2 linked regions of the Bombyx mori genome follow. The protein of the gene in region 1 purifies or fractionates together with the protein of each later gene. This does not show direct contact. Links are inferred from orthologs where the notes say so. Each region holds a gene or a part of one and is shown in the gene's direction. Other genes may lie near its edges.

Region 1 (3,757 bases):
ACTGCGAGTTGACAACCCTTACAAATATCCCAATTCAACCCTTAACCGTGTCAATTTACCCCGGACGCTGGGTAAATTGGGACGGCCATTATTTTACCGATTATTTCTTTAAAATGAATAATTAAAATAATGAAACGGTTTTTATCACCTAGGTACGTTCAAGACTCAACTTATTTCTTTGGTTGAGCAGTGACTATTTAATTGGAACTATTTTAAAATTCAATCTGAAGGTCGATTTTGTCCTTATTTACCCCATTGTACGGTATTGCTTTCTACAATGATTCAAACTATAGTTTAGTTTAGATAACGATAGTTTTGAATTGTTTATTTTTAGGTTTTCTTTTATTTATTGCTATGTATTTAAAACATCGCAGTGAAATCAACATATTTTGTTGTTTGCGTGGTTCAAAAGTTCGAAAATATGATATCGTTTATGTAGAACTAGATTAAGTAAACTAAAGCAGTTTTTTTTTTCCTACCTAAGCTGATTAGGGGCTATTTCAGCGTAACCGTGGCTAGTAGGTGAGCTCACGGGGCTCAAACCTGATGACGATGCTAACACGAACCCTAGCAAGAGCCGTGCTTCGCAGAATCTACCACCGGATCGGAAACGCGACCCACTGAGAAGATCCGGCGAGAAACTCAGTGGGCTGTGTCTGAGAGTTAATTTACTCGTCGAGCCCTTCGTCGCGAGCGACGGGTTCGACGAGAACGGTGACCGGTGCTTGAAGTACCTAAAAGCACCGTTAGTGGATCGGGAGGATCCGAGATGACGTGTTTTGGGCGACGTCGACTGCTTCCCATTCTGTCCGCAGGATCGGGAATGTAGTTACTGGCGGCCACGATGAGAGGGTTCTCGTGTCGTGCCGCTTTATCGAAGTGGACACCCAAGGGCTTCCTAATGCTGTATAAAGTAGGTAACATATATTTGACGGCGATAGTTAGAGGCAGCAGGATTAACTGGCTGGGTACACAATCGGCTTGTTGCAGTGGACCTTTGAGCAATTAACGTACGGAAGAGGAAGCTGGAAGCAGTAAATATGAAAATGCTTGTTTATGCCACTATTGCGTCGGCGCACCAATCTAGAAGTAGTGCTCATGTAATTCACTGTTCTTGTAGAGATAGAGCCAAGAACCCTAGTCTGTGTAATGAACTACACCCTGAGCCAAAAAAAAATCTGGGCCAACATCTGTAGCATTATTGGTTTGAAGACTAAATATTTATTTAAATGATAAATAAAACACGAGGAACGACAATCTACTTCAGTTTCAAAATCGATGCTATCAAAAGATTTGTTCTCCGTTTATTCCATGCAATCTCAGCTCCAGTAAAATTATAACATAGATTAATTATTTATCGAAAAAACCAGAGTCAGTACTTTTTGGCCACCTAGACTTGCAAAGGAACTTTTTGCATCTAGTTTATTTGGTATGAAATGGTTATTGCTTCTTGCAGACGTTGGTATTAGATAGTTTGAAAAATTGTGTCGAAGTCGTTTATCTAGTATCCTATATTTAGTCCGGAATGTATTCAGAAACCTTTATAAGTGAAATATGTCTAACCTAAAATGCTAAAAATTAAAATAGATTAATCATATAGGGCTAGACTTATTTCAGGGTTCGGTAACCACAAACTGGCAAAGGTAATATGGGATGCGCCTCGCTTATTTGGAATAACAATTTACCGGAGGCGGCCAACAAGAAACAAAAGCTCAAAATTAAAAATGTCAATAGCTTATGTCACCTTAAATGTCAAACTTTTAACGATAGTCGCAAATTTCTGAATTTGAAGATTTTACAATCCGCTTTTAGTTTCCAAGTAAAATATGTTTTCTACCAGCTCTCAAAGAAAATTTTGGACGTTCAGTGATGAAAATGAACTCGCACGCTTACGTGAAAAACACAATTATTTTTTTTACGCGAGACAGAACTCGCACATCGACGAGCAACAACGTTTCACGTATTTCTTGTCTCCTGATGAAGAACGACAACTTTTAAAGCAATACGAACTCCATCTGAAAGAATTCTGCAAGAGATTCACACCTCCAATGCCCAAAGGGGTGGTGGGCACAGCCTTTCATTACTTTAAACGATTTTATCTATACAACTCGACAATGGACTATCATCCAAAAGAAATTTTAGCCACTTGCGTGTATTTAGCGTGTAAAGTTGAAGAATTTAACGTTTCTATCGGGCAATTCGTCGCCAATATCAAAGGAGATCGAGAAAAAGCATCAGATATAATACTAAACAATGAATTATTGCTAATGCAACAATTAAACTACCATTTGACCATACATAATCCTTTCAGACCAGTAGAAGGATTCCTAATAGACATTAAAACTAGATGTTCATTGGCTAATCCTGAACGTCTTCGTAGTGGTATTGATGAGTTCCTAGAAAAGGTGTTCTTAACTGATGCATGCTTGTTGTATGCTCCGTCACAAATTGCTTTAGCTGCAGTACTCCATGCAGCGAGCAAGGAACAAGAGAACTTGGATAGCTACGTGACAGACATACTCTTCAGAGATGCGGGACGTGATAAATTGGCGATACTTATTGAAGCTGTAAGAAAGATTCGATCATTAGTAAAAATGGTAGAGGCACCAGCTAGAGAACGAGTACGGCTTATAGAGAAGAAATTAGACAAATGTCGGAACCAAGAAAATAACCCTGACAGTGAGATTTACAAGCGTCGGATGAGAGAGCTGCTAGACGAAGACGATGTTTTACATGTAGGATCCAGTAGAATGTCTTTAGATACAAGTGGAGTTACACAAGTTCTATCACCTTCTGCCTCTTAAATAAAAGAAATAAAAGTTGACCTAATATTAATTAAAATAAAAATGTAGATAAGATTATTGACTGTAAATTTAAATAAAGTAATTCTTAAGTAGGATTTAAAATAACTAAGTACACCTTTCATGATATTTTATGTATGCTGTTTTTGCAACAAAAGAATCCTGTATTTCTGTAATGTGTGCTAGAACGGGATGAACTATGGTAGAACTTGTAAGTTCGGTGTCATGAAAGCAATATACTATGTAGTCACCTTAAGTATATTTGAAGTTTAGCCTAGGACTTATGGTTGTACTTACCATTATCTTGTATTAAATCTGTTCTGATCTATTGCAAACTGCAGGTCTCAAAAGCTTTTTCTACACACACTAAAAAACAAATACTTATGACCTTAGTTAAAGAAAATGGATGTGGTTAGTTTATATTTATTGCTTAGATGGGTGGATAAGCTTCAACCCACTTGGTGCTATATGGTTACTGGAGCCCATAGACATCTACAATGTAAATGTTGCTACCCACCTTGAGACGAGCTCTAAGGTCTCCGTTTTAACAGTACAACAGATGCCCCACCCTTACTGCTTCACAGCGCAAATAGGCACAGTTGCACATACCTATACGGACTCACAAGACTGCCACTAATATTATTTTATAATCTGTAGAGTCTCCCTTGACTTTACAATAATCAAATCCTCTCTCAGCAGTTGCGTTTTGATGCGCTGTCAAGCCAATGTCCATTATGTTAACCAGCCACCAGATTGTGATTGGCCAGAATGTAAACAAAATCAATAATTAACTGACGTAAATAATATTTGAACCAACTCTAATTGTATGTATCTAATTAATTATGTATTACTAATAAACGAAAGTAAGATTGGTTGGAAGAAAACTAGTTTTTTTCCCTTACCTATATGCTGGTAGTCTAGTCTTCTGCGAAGCACTGCTCCTGCTAGAGCTAATG
Region 2 (3,657 bases), on another chromosome or scaffold:
CTCTTTAGTCATATCGGAAGATCTGGTTTCAAGTGTTCACCGGATCCCGTAGTCATATCATAACGTGCATAACGCTACCCACCATGAGGCTTGAGGTCAAACTCTCAATATTGTCTAACGGCGGTACGAAACCCGAAACGCGTTAGTGCATTTTTATGCGAGTTAATATACATTAATTAGATGGCGTTGCTGGGTTTATTTACTTGTCTTCATCACATTTAAATCATCAATCATCTTATTAGGTACATATTTTTACCTATCTTCTGTTTCATTCTAAACATTGAGATTGTACATGCACCATACAAAATATTTTTCACATGTTTAATAAAGCACAATCTGGTACCAGTAACAGACTACTACACATCACCAGCTAGTACCGCCCTTCAATAACAGATGGCGTTAGCATGCCTTAATTAGACGCCTTCAGCTCTAACACTAGGAGCAGACTGAGGGACCCCGGTAACCGTATTCGTCGAACTCGACAAAGAGTTCGCCGTGCAACCTAACCCATGCATCAGCCCGTCGAGTTTCTCGCCGGATCTTCTCAGCGGGTCGCGATTCCGATCCGGTAGTAGATTCATTAGCAAAGCAGCTGCTCTTGAGTTGTTAGGTCTCCTTCGGAGGCGCTCGGGCAGCTGTTAGCAAATCCTACCTCTCCTGGCTGAGCCCTTGCTCGCCCACCTGTCCTGGTGAAACCGAAAAGAGCCCGGAGGAATTTCCAGTAATCCTTTGTTCATAAAAAAATGGCGTTAGCTGTAGGTTCATACAAATATCCATGCACGTTTGCGTCCCTCTGTACCTAATAATTGTTTTTTGTTATATCTTTCAGATAGTATCGAAGGGCAGCGATCAGGTGGCCATATCGTCCAAGTACGAGACGAGAGAGGACGTCGCCGTCATAAGGAACTACGGGCAGCTGCTGGTCGAGGTACCGTTCTCGTACTGCGCCGCCGCTTATAGTCATATGGATCTTGCACATGTCCACGAAAGACTCCTGCGATATGGCGACCATGTCACTTTTTTATTGCTTAGATGTGTGGGCGAACTTAAAGCCCACTGGTATTAAGAGCCCATAGACATCTGCAACGTAAATGCTGCCACTCACCTTGAGATATGAGTTCTAAGGTCTCAGTTTTTACAGTACAAACGCACCCCGCTGAAATGAGTTCTTTATATAATTATCGTCTCAGTTTGATTGTTACTCACTTAACAACGGATGGTCACAATTACAATGCCTATAGACAGTTTCGTCTAAACATAGACGCTCGCGTACCTGTCTTTGATATTAAATTTAACCACTTCTCATCGTCTTGAGAACAATCAAAACAATAAACCTCAATCTTACCGTTGTCTTCACCTACAACAATGCCGTCCTTATAAAACGGCACACAATATCTGAATATTATTATCTGTATATTTATAGGTGAAGCAAAAACTTTGTACCCCTTTTTATGAAAATTTTGCGGAGTAGTATGAAATATCTCACACTCATAGAGAATATTGTTACGCGCTGGGGTTCGGGATAAATAAAAATTCTACGGTAGTACAAATTAGCACTTAAATCACTTTAAAATTTTCAATTTACTTCTTTCGCTTCGCTTCAGCTGATCCGTTCGCTGTTTCGCTTCGAGTAGATTCGATTAACAAACTGATCCATGTCATCACTGCCGGCGATACGACATCCCTAGAATTATTGAAAACATCCCTCACAAGTCAGGTATTTTCAATATGCGTTTCTGCTGTCTGACAACAGATGGCGTTGCACTTCTCGATCGTTCTACATTTTACTGGTTCTTTTGATATTCGTTTCTGCTGTTCGACGATAGATGGCGTTACTCTTACCGGCGTAACAATATAGAGGAGCGCACTTTTTTTTATTGCTTAGATGGGTGGATGAGCTCACAGCCCACCTGGCGTTAAGTTTAATATTATTTATCTATAGTGTAGTGTACAACTGGGAAACCATTAGTACTGTTACGCCGGTAAGAGTAACGCCATCTATCGCCGAATAGTCGAACGAATATCGAAGGATCTAGTAACATCTAGAACGCTCGAGAAGTACAACGTCATCTATTGCCAGATAACGGAAATACACAATACTAGACTTTTGTGAAATATTCTCGACGATTCTCGGGATTTCGGCTCGACTATAAAAGCGTTGCAGAGATGCCTTCAGACACAGTCCACTGAGTTTCTCGCCTGATCTTCTCAGTGGGTTACAATTCCGATTCGGCTCGCTAGCTAGGGCTCATGTTAGAAATGTTGTCAGGTTTGAGCCCCGTGAGCTCACCTACTAGTTAAGGCTACGCTGATATAGCCTCTCAAGGCTCTCAGCTTAGGTAGGAAAAAAAAACACGCAGTCAGTAATCGGAACAGCGAAAGGATCACCAGAAGCGAAGCGGAAGAAGCGAATTGAGAGTTTTAAAGCGTTTGTTAAGTGTTTTAAGTGTTCTAAGTGCTAATATAGTGTTAACTTGTAATTCGGTAGAATTTTATTTATCCCGAATCCCAGCGCGTAACGGTACTTATAAATGAGTGTTAGTAAATATATGTTCTCTCATCTACAGATGTCGGCGTGCGTGCCTGACGGCGTGGTGTGCTTCTTCACGTCGTACCTGTATCTGGAGAGCGTCGTGGGGGCCTGGTACGACCAGGGTGAGCGGAAACTCGGCCACATAAACACGATGCAGCGTGATGTCCGCGGGCCCCTCTCGTAACAAATGTAACGCGTGTGCAGGTGTAGTCGCGAGTCTGCAGCGACACAAGCTGCTGTTCATCGAGACGCAAGACTCCGCCGAGACGAGCTTCGCCCTCATCAACTACATCAAGGCAAGTGGCGCCGCCGCCCCACCAGCGGGACCCTTACATATAGAGCATCACTAGTTACTGTCAGAAATTTTAAGGATGATTAATTATACTCGTGAAGCAGTAATGCGTTCCGGTGTGAAGGGGGGGGGGGGGGGGCGTTTAACTATACTGAGACCTTAGAACTCATATCTCAAGGAGGGTTGCGCATTTACGTTGTAGATGTCTATGGGCTCCAGTAACCACTTAACACCAGGTGGGCTGTGACTTCGTCCACCCATCTAAGCAATAAAAAGGATTGTGTGTTTTATGAAACCACGCTAAAAGTGAAACTTTTTTTTTCACATTATAGACATTTAACTCTGACAAACACCATTTACATTAAACACTGACAAAAACAAACAATAGCGTGGATCACTGGCACAAATGAGTAATAGTCTATACACTACACGGTCAGCTGCTGCGAACTATAGGCGCCGCCATATTGGCCTTGGCTGCTCTGACGAGCGCCTTTCACTTTATCCCTACTCCGCGGCCGACCGTCACGCGACATGCAACACACAGACGGAAAAGTTTGAGACGATGTAATAAAAGTTTCACTTTAAAATCTAACTTTACACCAGTGTGCTTAGTGCGAGTTTTTAACGTTCTCGATAGCGTAAAAGTTAACTCGAATTTGTATGGAGTTGGAACGTTTGCGTACGTTTGCCGCTAGAGGCGCTGTTCCAACTGCATACTAAATTGGGTTAACTTTTACGCTATGTTAAAAAACTCGCACTAACCACACTGAGCCAAATATGTATTTATAACAGACTTCGTAGTGCCTCCATCGATAAATCTATATATATAAAA

Evidence for each region.
Region 2: the proteins of cyclin-H (region 1) and general transcription and DNA repair factor IIH helicase subunit XPD purify together in Homo sapiens (affinity purification with mass spectrometry; 3 studies listed by BioGRID and IntAct, counting the BioPlex papers as one, with this or other methods). This does not show direct contact. The link is inferred for Bombyx mori from reciprocal best matches to the Homo sapiens genes CCNH and ERCC2.

Annotation. Positions count from the first base shown.
Region 1 is NC_085113.1:12,695,621-12,699,377, reverse strand, and holds cyclin-H, read left to right. Parts: upstream 1-1,373; 5' UTR 1,374-1,826; coding exon 1,827-2,804; 3' UTR 2,805-3,685; downstream 3,686-3,757. UniProt on the Homo sapiens protein: Regulates CDK7, the catalytic subunit of the CDK-activating kinase (CAK) enzymatic complex. CAK activates the cyclin-associated kinases CDK1, CDK2, CDK4 and CDK6 by threonine phosphorylation.
Region 2 is NC_085127.1:13,513,873-13,517,529, forward strand, and holds part of general transcription and DNA repair factor IIH helicase subunit XPD, read left to right. Parts: intron 1-829; coding exon 830-928; intron 929-2,567; coding exon 2,568-2,655; intron 2,656-2,737; coding exon 2,738-2,829; intron 2,830-3,657. UniProt on the Homo sapiens protein: ATP-dependent 5'-3' DNA helicase. Component of the general transcription and DNA repair factor IIH (TFIIH) core complex, not absolutely essential for minimal transcription in vitro.